Linked DNA regions of Tamandua tetradactyla. The protein of the gene in region 1 binds, or shares a complex with, the protein of each later gene. Links are inferred from orthologs where the notes say so. Each region holds a gene or a part of one and is shown in the gene's direction. Other genes may lie near its edges.

What was found.
Region 2: UBTF (region 1) and POLR1C share a complex: the UniProt entries of both Homo sapiens proteins name them as parts of the pol I pre-initiation complex. The link is inferred for Tamandua tetradactyla from reciprocal best matches to the Homo sapiens genes UBTF and POLR1C.
Region 3: UBTF (region 1) and POLR2L share a complex: the UniProt entries of both Homo sapiens proteins name them as parts of the pol I pre-initiation complex. The link is inferred for Tamandua tetradactyla from reciprocal best matches to the Homo sapiens genes UBTF and POLR2L.

The regions. Positions count from the first base shown.
Region 1 is NC_135332.1:23,274,130-23,277,869, forward strand, and holds the start of UBTF (nucleolar transcription factor 1), read left to right. Parts: upstream 1-731; 5' UTR 732-1,089; intron 1,090-1,408; exon of another isoform or gene 1,409-1,555; intron 1,556-2,354; exon of another isoform or gene 2,355-2,424; intron 2,425-2,784; exon of another isoform or gene 2,785-2,851; intron 2,852-3,223; exon of another isoform or gene 3,224-3,334; intron 3,335-3,740. UniProt on the Homo sapiens protein: Recognizes the ribosomal RNA gene promoter and activates transcription mediated by RNA polymerase I (Pol I) through cooperative interactions with the transcription factor SL1/TIF-IB complex.
Region 2 is NC_135331.1:101,096,811-101,100,550, forward strand, and holds the start of POLR1C (DNA-directed RNA polymerases I and III subunit RPAC1), read left to right. Parts: upstream 1-828; 5' UTR 829-1,133; coding exon 1,134-1,202; intron 1,203-1,323; coding exon 1,324-1,395; intron 1,396-2,012; exon of another isoform or gene 2,013-2,154; intron 2,155-2,525; exon of another isoform or gene 2,526-2,839; coding exon 2,840-2,947; exon of another isoform or gene 2,948-3,201; coding exon 3,202-3,334; exon of another isoform or gene 3,335-3,609; coding exon 3,610-3,729; exon of another isoform or gene 3,730-3,740. Other genes in the region: protein YIPF3, read right to left, coding at 1-115, 748-828. UniProt on the Homo sapiens protein: DNA-dependent RNA polymerase catalyzes the transcription of DNA into RNA using the four ribonucleoside triphosphates as substrates.
Region 3 is NC_135335.1:671,921-675,515, reverse strand, and holds POLR2L (DNA-directed RNA polymerases I, II, and III subunit RPABC5), read left to right. Parts: upstream 1-1,178; 5' UTR 1,179-1,265; coding exon 1,266-1,360; intron 1,361-2,753; coding exon 2,754-2,862; 3' UTR 2,863-2,960; downstream 2,961-3,595. UniProt on the Homo sapiens protein: DNA-dependent RNA polymerase catalyzes the transcription of DNA into RNA using the four ribonucleoside triphosphates as substrates.

The DNA.
Region 1 (3,740 bases):
ACAAACTGATTGCGTGGCGGGGATTGGCTGGTCCAGGCGTGACGCCGGTAACAACAAAGGTGGAGTTGGAAGAAATTAGATTAAAGACTAGGAAAAAAAAAAATTAAAGGGGGAGCTGGCCAAGGGACAGGAGACAGAGATCGAAGGGTTGAGGCGCGAAGCGCCGTCTCGCGGCTCCGACCTCTCCCCGGAATCCCCTGCGTGCAAACCGGTCCGGATTTCGCTCTCCACGCCCACCCGGACCCAGCTCTCCAAAGCCGAGGTGGAAGGGACGGCTGGTACTTTCTGAAAAATCCCCCTCAACTCCCACCCGTGACACCCCTGGCTACGACCCAGGGGGGGGAACTTTTTGGTCGGACTCCTCGGATCCTATACCCGGCGGAGGTGGGGACGTTGAAAACAAGGAGAGACTCGCTCTAAACCCCGGAAGGCCCTTGCAGGGCACGAAGATCGGACCAGGCGGGGTGTTCCCCCGTTTTTTCGATGTGTTGTAAATCTGAGAAGAGCGTCTTTCGTTTCATTCCTTTTTCCTTCTTCTTCTTCTTCTTTTTTTTTTTTGTAAAATCCCCCCTTGATTCGCACCCCACCCCCAGCTTTGGCTTCAGGGTTACAAAAGCAAAGAGCAATAAAAAAAAAAAAAAAAAAAAAAAAACCGCGCACACACTCAGGCACACACCAGTGGCGACAGGGGAGAGTAGGAAAGACGCAGGAGAGAAGCAGGAGGCAGGAGGCAGCGGGGAGGGAGCAATGGGAGCGGGAAGGAGGCAGGTTCCCTGGCAAATCCGCCTCCGGCCTCACGCCGCCTCACCGGCCCCGGCAGGGGAGCGAGGAGCCGGGCAAGCAGATGGAGTGGAGCTCGCTCTAGGCAGCGGGCTTGGCCGGAGAATGGAGGAGCCGCCAAGCGACCGGCTGATTGGAAGAGAAACGCAGAGCGATGGAGGCGGGGGTAGGAGGACGATTTCTCTGCGGGGACTGGCGGCAGCGTACACGCCCGGGTCGGGCGCTGCAGAGCTTGGCTAGCTTTCAACCCGCGCTCGCCGGCTCCAGCCCGGTGCGCCCCCACCCCCAGCCCTACCGGCGGCTCCGCAGGTGAGTGCGAGCTGGGGGCAAAAAGACCCAAAAGTCTCAAAACGCCCGCCCTGCGGGTAAAAAAAAAAAGCAAGAGAAAATGGAAAAGAAAAGCATGTTTCTTTCTTTCTTTCTTTTTTTTAAAATTTTTGTGCAGTTCCCAGCACGGTGGGAGGGAAGGGGTGAGGCTGAGCCGCCCGGAGGAGGCGGAGGGGCCAGGCGAGGCCGGGGTGGCCCGGGAGGCGGCGGCGCCGAGGCGGCTCTGACGGGCGAGCGCTCGGAGCGGCGCTGCGCTGCGCCGAGGCGGGCGGGCGGGCGGAGCGGGGCGGGCGGAGCGCGGCGCGTGGGGCTCGCCATTAGCCGTCGCTCCGCTTCGCCATCTCGGGCTTTGTCTGGCGACTCGCTGCTCCGGTGTCGGCTGCGGCTCGGCTCTTCGGCCCGCCGCGCCCCCAGGTGCCCCCGGCCCGCGTTCCCATCCACTCGTTCGGTGAGTGCGCCCCAGCGCCGCGGGATTTCGGGAGAAGAGGGGTTGCGGCGAATGGCAGCGGCGGCCGATCTCCATGCGCCCGGGCGGGCCTGGGGTAGCCATGCCGGGCTGGATTGAACCGGCTCCCAGAGCGGCTCCTCGGCCACAGCCGGTCGCCCCCTCGCCGTTTCCGGGGTGTAAGGAGTAGAGAGGAATTTTTTTTTTTTTTTTTTGCGGGAGAGCGTTCCTGGGGGCGATTTTTATTTTGTTAAAGTTTAGTGTATATCGCTCTACTCGCCAGCGCGGGGACCGCGAGGCGGGCTGGCGCCGCGATCGGCAAGTCTGCGCCCCAAGCCCGCGGCCACACGCGGAGGATATGGGTGGGCGCGGACCACCCGTTCCAGGAGGCAGGAGAGGGAAGCGGGTGAGGGCTGGCCTGGGAGGCCGGAGCTAAACTGAGAGGAGTGGTGGGAGAGCTCCGGAACAGGGCTACGGGCACCACCGAATGTCCCCGGCCGCCGGGGAGCCCTCCGGGCACCCTCGTCGCAGCCGCGCCCTCCCTCCCGCGCCGGCCAAGCCTGCTAGTTCCCCCGCGGGTCTGGGGAGGTCGCTCTCAGCGCGCCCGCCCGCCTCGGCTCCGAGCCCCGCCGCCATCCGGGCGGCTGCGTGTCTCCCTGCCTCGGCCCCCCCCCTCCGGCGGCAGCAGCAGCAGCAGCAGCAGCCGCCGCCGCCGCCACCCCCCTCCCCTCCTTCCTTCCCTCCGCCTCGGCCGCCCGGGTCCCCCTAGCTCCCGCCCCTCCTCCCAGCTGCCCCCCGCGGAGCCCGCCCGGGCAGGCTGTGGGAGGGAGTGGAGCCGGCGAGGCAGGCGGGCTGGCGCTCGCTCCCCGGGGGTCGGTGTGCGCTCTACGGGGAAGGACGCGCTCGCTGCCCCGCTTCTCCCGCCCCCCCTCCCGCTCCTCCTCCTCCCTTCTCCCTCCTCCTCCCCGCTCCGGCGGCGGAGGCTGCGGCGGCGGCGGGGGGTGTGCGAGCGGAGGCCGGGGCCGGCGGGCGGGCGGCGGGCGGGCTGCCTGCAGGCGGAGGGCGCTGTGCTTTGTGCTTTTCGCCGCGAGGAGCAGCAGGCAGCAGCCAAAGCTGCCGCCGCCGCCGCCACAGCAGGAGCAGCCGCCGCCCCAGCGCCGCCGCCGCGCCCGGAGGAGGAGCCGCTGCCGCCGCGGGAGGGAGCTGCGGCTGTGCCCGGCCGAGCGGGGGAGGGCGCCGCCGCTCAGAGCCGGGGAGGGAGCCACGGGAGCGGGAAGCCCGGAGGCCGCGCTGCGCTGGGTAACTGAGGCGGACGGAAGACGCGCGCTGGGGTCGGGGCCCAGCAGCGGGGAGCGAGCTGCGGATGCGGGGGGCGCCCGGTGGGGACCCGAGGCGACCTCCGGGCAGGGGACTGGGCGAGAGCAGACCAGGGCACTGGGGAGGACACGCCGAGAGCCGGGGGAGGGGAAGGCAGGAAGCGAGGCCCGAGCCGAGCCCCAGCCGCGAACGTAGGAGCCCGCGCTTCTCCGAGCCGGCAGGCGCAGTTCTCGCCGGCCGCCGGAGGGGGCGGCGGGGCCGGTGAGCGCTGCGCCCCCGCCTCCCGGCCGCCGTCCTCCCGCCCTCTCCTTGGCTCGGCTCCCCGGAGGCCGGGGCGGGGGCGCCGGCAGGGCTGGGCCGCAGGCTCGGGGGAGGAGGCGGCGGTTCCCGCCGCGGTCGCGCCTCTGCGCCGAGCTCCTTCGTGCGCGTCGGGGTGGCTGGGCGGTGGCGGCGATTCTGGCAAGGGTGGGTGGCTCGGGGGCGGGGGGCAGGCAGGCTAGGCCGCTTCTCTCCAGCTGGTCGCCCGCCCGGGCGGGCGGGGACGGCGGGAATCCAGATCCGGTCCCCGGGGGCGGTGCGGCTGCTGCGCTCCGGGGCCGGCGGCGGCTGAGCTGCGTCCGGGTCCCCGCCGGGTTGCGGAGGCGGGGGGAACGGGCCGCGGGGAGGAGGGAGGAGGAGACTGCGGCGCGTGCTCGCTTCCGCGGCCACGCGCGCCCTTTACCCGCCCTTCCTTCTCCCCCGCCCTCCAGCTTGGGGCCTCCCCGGGGCGGGCGCACGGAGAGGAGGAGGAGGAGTTTTTTTTTTTTTTTCGTCGGGGTGGGGGAAGGAGGGCGGGAGCTTGCTGCACGCGGGAGCCGGGAGCAGTCTCTCG
Region 2 (3,740 bases), on another chromosome or scaffold:
CATCAGCATCTACCTCTTCCTCACGCAGACGCTGATGCAGCTCACCCATATCCTCAAAGCTGGAGCCTGAAGTGTCATCCATGTTCTCCATGTCAATCACAGCTGAGCCCCCACCCTGTGAAGACAATGGCTCCTAGAATGAATGGCCTTTCTGCTCATCCATTAAGTCCTCCTCTCTCATCCCAAAGTTTGGGGCTCTGTTCTTCCACTGCTGGGGCTATGGCTTTGAATTACTACAGATCACGCCACTTCACTGCTTCCCCTTCATTTGCTCTCAGAATGCCTGGTTCCTAGCTTTGGCTCTCTTTTCTAGCCTAGGAAACCTACCAGCTGTCTTCCATTCAAACCTTTCTCCTGCTTTCGGTATGAAACCCTCAAAGGCTCAAGACAAAACTGCACACACTATGCTTTCGGCCAGTGACAGTAATTCCTGCCCCTCCCCCGCAGTGTCTGACTCCGGCCCACTTCCTAACTTGTCTCAAAAGCGTTAGTACGCTCTTCCTAACGCCTGAGGTGGGTTAGAGACCCGAAGCCTTCCGGCTGGAGTATCTGTCTGGACCTTTCAAGACAGCACTAACCCCTCCGACTGTCTCGCCCAAGACCCACTGGAGAGAAAAAGTGTTGCAAATGGCGCAGGAGATAAAAAGGTTAGGAGCGGTTTTCCAGGCCCTGAAGGAGAGTCCTCAGGGCACTACAGGGTGGCTGCCGGCGCTAGGGCTGCTGGCATCCAGAGCTTTGGTCCATTACCTGGATGTTTTCTTCGAACCCTCCCCATTCCGGGCCAGTCCCGTTTCGGGCGCCGTTGACAGGCGCCGCTGTAGCTGCCATGTGTCTTGTGGGCTCCCGTCGCTGAAGCCCGCGCTAGCCCCGCGCCCGGAGGAGCGGGCGAAATATGGGTCCGAGGGAGGGAGATGTCAAGAAGCAACGAGAGACAGGACTAGCCGGAACGCAAAAAAGGGAGAAGCCCGGATGTTTGGCCAAATCAGACTCCCGGAAGCTAGGGACGTGGACGGAATAGGATCAGAATCTCGCGATATCTAAACCTCCAGTTGGTGGCTCGTTGTCACGGAGACGGCAAGGCTAGTAGGACGCACGCGCCAATTTACTGTCTTAGTCACGTGGTGGGTTTGAAGATGGCGGCGTCCCAGAGGGTAGAAGAAATGCGAAACCGCGTGGTTCTGGGGGAGTTCGGAGTTCGAAATGTAAGTCCTGTGGCTTTAGGCTCGGGAGGGGAGAGGGGATCAGAATAGGGATGAGTTGGTGTCGGGGATGCCTTTGGCCTCGCAGACCCTTCTCGGACAGGCTCGCCTCTCTTTGCTCTAGGTTCATACTACCGACTTCCCCGGTAACTACTCTGGTTACGATGACGCCTGGGACCAGGACAGCTTCGAGAGGGTGAGAGAGGAGTGGGAAAGTACAGGGAGGGAGAGGGATCTGATTAGGAGGTGGTTGGGGCTGTAGGTGTCCGGAGAGGGTGTGAAGGCCGGACGGTGTGAGCTAAGCCTCAGAAGTTGTCCTTGGGGCTAGAGCCAAAACGTTCATAAAACGTTTACTGAGCGTGTTTCCATCCCACCAGTGCTAGGTGCTGCGTGTACAAGGCTGAATCAGGCGCATGTTTTTTTTTTGCCCTGTTCTGTGAACAAGAAGTTGGGGAAGAGCGCGCATAAAACAAATGATTCCAGTATTGTGTGACAGTGGCGGTTGATAGCGATAAACATGGGATGGGGATTGGGTATCCTATAGAAGGACCTAATCTGGACTGGGAATGGGGACGAGGTATGAAGAGTGCCTGGAGGAGATGCATCTCAATTCAATCTTCAATGATAAGTACAAGTTGTGAACATTGACGAGAGAGGAGGTACTAATAACAGAAGCTAAATTTTGAGGTGTCTCGGCATTGTCCAAGCAGTTCAATATTGCTGTGATGTAAGGTGGGCTGGCACGAGTGATAGGCAGGACTGGAGTAAGTCTTAGGCATTGCAGGTAATAGCTTTTGAATAATTTTTATACAGATAACATCAGATTTGCAACTCACATGATTGGGAGAGAATTTGAGCAGGATGATATGGGTCAGGCAGACCTGTTGGAAGAGTTGAAAATGAAGGCATGGACTAAAACTGTGTCCATGGAAATAGAGGAAAGGGAGGATAGAAGGTAAAATTTGGGATTGATTTGATATGTGCGGTGAGGGAGGGGGAGTGTAAAATAACCTAGTTTGAAGAACTGCTTGGATGGTGGGTGTCCTCTAAGAAGAAATGGGTCTGGGGAAGGAATGATGATGCATTCATTTTCCTGCATGTGGCAATGTCTAGCAGGCTAGAAGAATATATATTTGAAATGAGATCAGAAAGTAGAGTTGATTAAAACCATGAGTGTGGGGTTGAGGTACATGGGAGACAAGAACCTGGGAAATAGTAACATAGGGGAAAGTAGAAGATAGTGAATTTAGTAAAAATCATCAGAGAAGGAAGAGAATCAAAGTTTCAAAAAGAAGGAATTTTATCAATAATGGCAAATGCAGCAGAGTCCAGTAAGGTAAAGCTTGAGTGGTGTCGACTGGAATAAGCAGTGTGGAAGTTCCAGTTCCATAAAAGAATGGCTTCTGTGAGATGATCTGGCTAGAAACCAGATTGCCGAAGGTTTTGAATAGATAAAAACAGAATTTCCAAGAAAAAAAGAAAGGATTCGGGAGAAAGGGACATGTAATGAGGGACATTTGGGCAAAGGGGAGGTTCCTGGATGAGAAGGTATTCATACTTTGAGAGAAATATCCAGAGGGGAGATGTAGAGAGAAATTGACCATACAGATAGCTGGCATCAGTTTTTCTTGCCCCTCTAGAATTTCCGTGTGGATGTGGTACAGATGGATGAAAACTCATTGGAATTTGACATGGTGGGGATTGACGCAGCCATTGCCAATGCATTTCGACGCATTCTGTTAGCTGAGGTATTGATGGGAAGGTGGCATTTGGGGGGTTGTGTGGGGAACCATGCCATCACCTCCCTTGTTGAATATATGCATCTCAAGCTGCAGCCACTCCTTGTTTTTCTTGTAGTTTTGCTGGGCATTCCTCTTGCCCATTCCTTGTAAACTGCTCATCAGACATTCTTTCAGAAGAGTTCTTTTCCTATGAGGAGGCAGGGATTGGGTGGGGAGTCTCTTGAGTGTTTGCAGATGGGTGATACTATTTCCTTGGGCAGGTACCAACCATGGCTATAGAAAAGGTCCTGGTGTACAACAACACATCCATTGTCCAGGATGAGATCCTTGCCCATCGTCTAGGGCTCATTCCCATTCATGCTGATCCCCGTCTTTTTGAATATCGGAACCAAGGTGAGGGTCTGGGAAAATAAAGTTTTGGAAACAGGGGAAGTAACTCTTTATTGAAGTTGATTTTGTAATCAAGATTGCCTGAGTTTAGATACTGGGTTGACTACTGTGTGATCTTGGGCAAGTTACTTAGCCTTTTGCAACGTTAATGTTCTCATCTGTGAAATGAAAATTGTACCTGTTTTATAAGTTCATCAGGAGGATTGAGATAGGCATTGAGTATAGTACCTGGCATGCAAATGTTCACAAGTTTTCCTCCTCCTCTTACATTTGTGCAGGAGATGAAGAAGGCACAGAGATAGATACTCTGCAGTTTCGGCTGCAAGTCAGGTGCACTCAGAATCCCCATGCTGCTAAAGATTCCTCTGATCCCAATGAACTCTATGTGAACCACAAAGGTGAGTAGTGG
Region 3 (3,595 bases), on another chromosome or scaffold:
GTCCAGTCCTCCTGGGTGGAGGCGGCTGGGAAGGGAAGTGGCCTTAGCTCGTGGCTCTGCACGTGGCCTAGAGGGGGATGGAGAGGGCCACTGGGGAGGTGGAGGCACAAATTCCAGGCAACAACAGCCGGCCCAGCCCTACCCAAGCCCAGGAGACCCTTCCATCCCCTCCCACATCCAACTGAGTCAGGGTCCAGCTGACACCTGGGGTGAGACCGGGGGGAGGCAGGGACCCAACGCAGACCCCGTCCCAGGCAGCTCCAAGTCAGGCAGCTCCAAGTCGTGGGTCTTCTTTTACACACACACCCCCCACCGCCGGCCCGTCGCAGCCAGCCCAGCGTCCCCTCTTCCAGGCAGCCTTCCCTGCCTCCCCCGCACACTGCCCCGCCTGCCTCCGCCGCCAGAGGCTCGGCCTGCCCGGGCCACCCCTTCCCCTCCAGCCCCCAGGCTGCCCGTTCCCCTGGCCACGACGCTTCGGCCCGCCGGGCTGGGGTCAGCTGGCCCACGTCGGGGCTGCCCAGCATAGCCTGGCCGGGGGTCCCTTCCCCGGGACCGGAGCACTCGCCGCCGCGGCGGGGCGCTGCGGCGCTGGGGGCACCTCCGCCGTCGGGGCCCGACGCCCCAAACTCAGAGCCCGGGCTGGATGGCCGCGGGCGAGGGCCGGGCCCGGAGGGGAGGCGGGAAGACCACCGCCCGGCCCTGCCCCCGGCCCCGTGTGGCTGCGGCTCGGCTGCCCTCGGGACTCGAACTCGCGCCCTCCAGTGTGCCCGGCTGTGGTACCGGCCCCGGCTCGGCTCGGGGCGGCGGGGGGCGGCGGAGTCCGGGGGCGCCTCCCGGGCGGTGGGGGGCGGTACCTGCGCGCCCGTCCGCTCCCGCCGCACGGCTGTCACTCCCGCCACACGCGAAACGCGAGCGCCGCCGCAACCCTTGCGGCCCAGCTCGGACGCCGTAGACCTGAACGTACCAAAGCGGCCGCGGGGGGTGCCGGCTATTCCCGTCGCGGCCACGCGGGCCCCGGGAGCCCCCGCCCCGCGCAGAGAAGACTTGCCAGACGTAGAGTAATTGCCGCAAGGGCGGTCGGTGGCGGGGGTGGAGACGGGTGGTGGCAGCGGCGGGTGGCGGCAGGGCGCGGGGACGTCCCCCCCTGCGCCAGTGGGCGCGCCCGAGGCGGGGCCTGCGCGCCGCGGGCGGAAGCGCCTCCTGAGCCGTCGAGCGCAGCCGATTGTCAGACAGCCTGCAGGACCGGTCCGCTGCCTGCCGCCGCCATGATCATCCCCGTGCGCTGCTTCACCTGCGGCAAGATCGTCGGCAACAAGTGGGAGGCCTACCTGGGCCTGCTGCAGGCCGAGTACACCGAAGGGTGAGGCTCGGGCCCGCGGGAGGGCGCGGGGGGCGGGGTCTCTCGTGGGGGCTCGCAGATCCGGGTCCTCCTCGTCCGGGGCCTTCTCGTCCGGGGCCCTCCTCGTCCGGGTCCTCTTCGTCCGGGGCCCTCCTCGTCCCGGGTCCTCCTCGTCCGGGGTCCTCCAGACTAGCTCCTGGTTTGGGGGGGGCTGTGGAGCTGGGCAAGATGCCTCTAGGTATCCTCGCCGCGGGTCACCGTGGCCTTCTCATCCCCAGGAAATCCCTCAGCCTCTTCCCTGCCACCTGCTCCTCACTGCCTCTCCCTGACACCCCACCACCACCCGGCCACCCCTCCTCCGCCTGGAATGGCCAACTCTCCGCCCCACCAAGTCCTGCAAGCCCCGCTCATCCTTTTAAGAGGCGGACAAGCTGCCTGACCACGCAGCGCCCACCCCTCAGGCAGGAGGCTGGCCCCTTTTCTGTGCCTGCCCCTTAGCTCTGCAGTCAGCTCCTGGGAGCATGTCTGAGAGTCTGCCCCCTTGCCAGCCGTGTGTCACGATCCCATTTGAGCCCTCGGGCCCACATGTGTGCCCAGCATACAAGGGAGTTGCTGGGGGGAGTGTGCCGGATGAATGAGGAAAGTGAATGGATGGCGGGGCACTCAAGCCAGGCCTGAAGAGGTCTGTGCAGGCTGCTGTGTCCCTGGGATGCTCTGAGCAAGGGGACTCCTGGTCTTGCCTCCCACTTTCCCAAGCTGCCATCTGTGCATTGGAGCCGATGCTGTGTGGGCTCTTTGGAGACCTTGATGGCTAGAACACAGGTCCCAGGGAAGTCCTGACTACTGATTGGCATAGGGATTAGGAGGTGTCACTCTCTCGAGAGGTGTTTCTTTTCCTGATTTTGGGGGAGCAGAGCTCAGGAAAGTCCCCTTGGTAGCTGTGTGATCTGTGATCTGTGTGTGGCACCTTTGTCAGCCAGGGACCATGTGGGTCTGCTGGGGTCTGCTGGCTGCAGTGATGTGCGTTCCTGTGTATGGAGGGAAAACTGCTAAGGAGCCAGCCCCAAGGGGAGAGGGGTGTGTGGGCTCTAGCAAGGCAGCAGAGTCCCGGAGAATGAGCCATGAAGACCACACCACAGCCAGAGAAGGCATAAGCCTTGTGCCTCTAAGCTCCCCCCGATACTCTGGAAGTCCCGAGAACCACCCCAGCCCTGGGTGAACGAGCCCAAAGCAGAGGCAGAAATGGGGCTTGTGTGGGAGCAGCAGACTGGTGGTTGGAGGGTGCAGAGGGGGCAGCCCCGGGGGCTGAGGAGTGGAGTAGGCGGGAGAGGTGGTCCAGGGTGGTCGCTGGGGCGTGTGGACTGTGCAATGCGCATGACCACAGCCTGCTCATACCACCTGCCCCTACCCGCAGGGACGCCCTGGATGCACTGGGCCTGAAGCGCTACTGCTGCCGCCGCATGCTGCTGGCCCACGTGGACCTGATCGAGAAGCTGCTCAACTATGCTCCCTTGGAGAAGTGACCGCATATGACAGCTGGGGGTGGTGCGGGAGCCAGGCCCTAGTGCAGCCTGGTGGACTCCGAGCTCTGGAAGATGTCAGTAAAGGTCTCTGTGCAGGATGTCCTGAGGCCTGGGACTGGATTTGTGTAGCTCAGCCCAGAGTGTGTGCCCGGTGTCCCCCAGGGCCAGGATGTGCCGTAGGGTAGGGGCAGGGAGGCCAAGTCAGTCTCAGGGCATCTCTGCTGCTTTGTCCTGAGGCCTCTGGGTGCTGATGAGTAAGCCGGCTGGGGGGAGGGTCAGGGCCTGCCCTGGGTCAGTCTGAGTTTTTTGGGGGCGGGACTGCATCCCCCAGGTGGAGGGGGGATGCTGGCCGAGACCTGCCTGGCCCTCGAGGCCCAGCACCCACTCCCCCAGCTTCCCAACTCCAGGGTGATGCCCCAGACACTTGCCTTGGCCTCTTCCCCTCCCTGACCCAAAGCCAAGCAGTGGGGCCTGGCGGTTTCCCCCACCCAGCAGCTCCTGCCTGGGCCTCCCCACAGCAACCAGAGGCAGCTCTGGGAGCCACATACAGGCCCCAGCACTGAAACCTGTAACCCCCTCCCAACCCACCCCCACTCCTGGCTTCCCTGGGGCCCGAGCTCCTTCCCCCTTGAGCCCCTGAGCTCTCAGCTTAGGCATCAGCTCCTTGCTTGGCCTTGGGGACATGCACTCTGCCTCCCTATCACAGCACAGGAGTGAGGGTGCTGGTGATGCT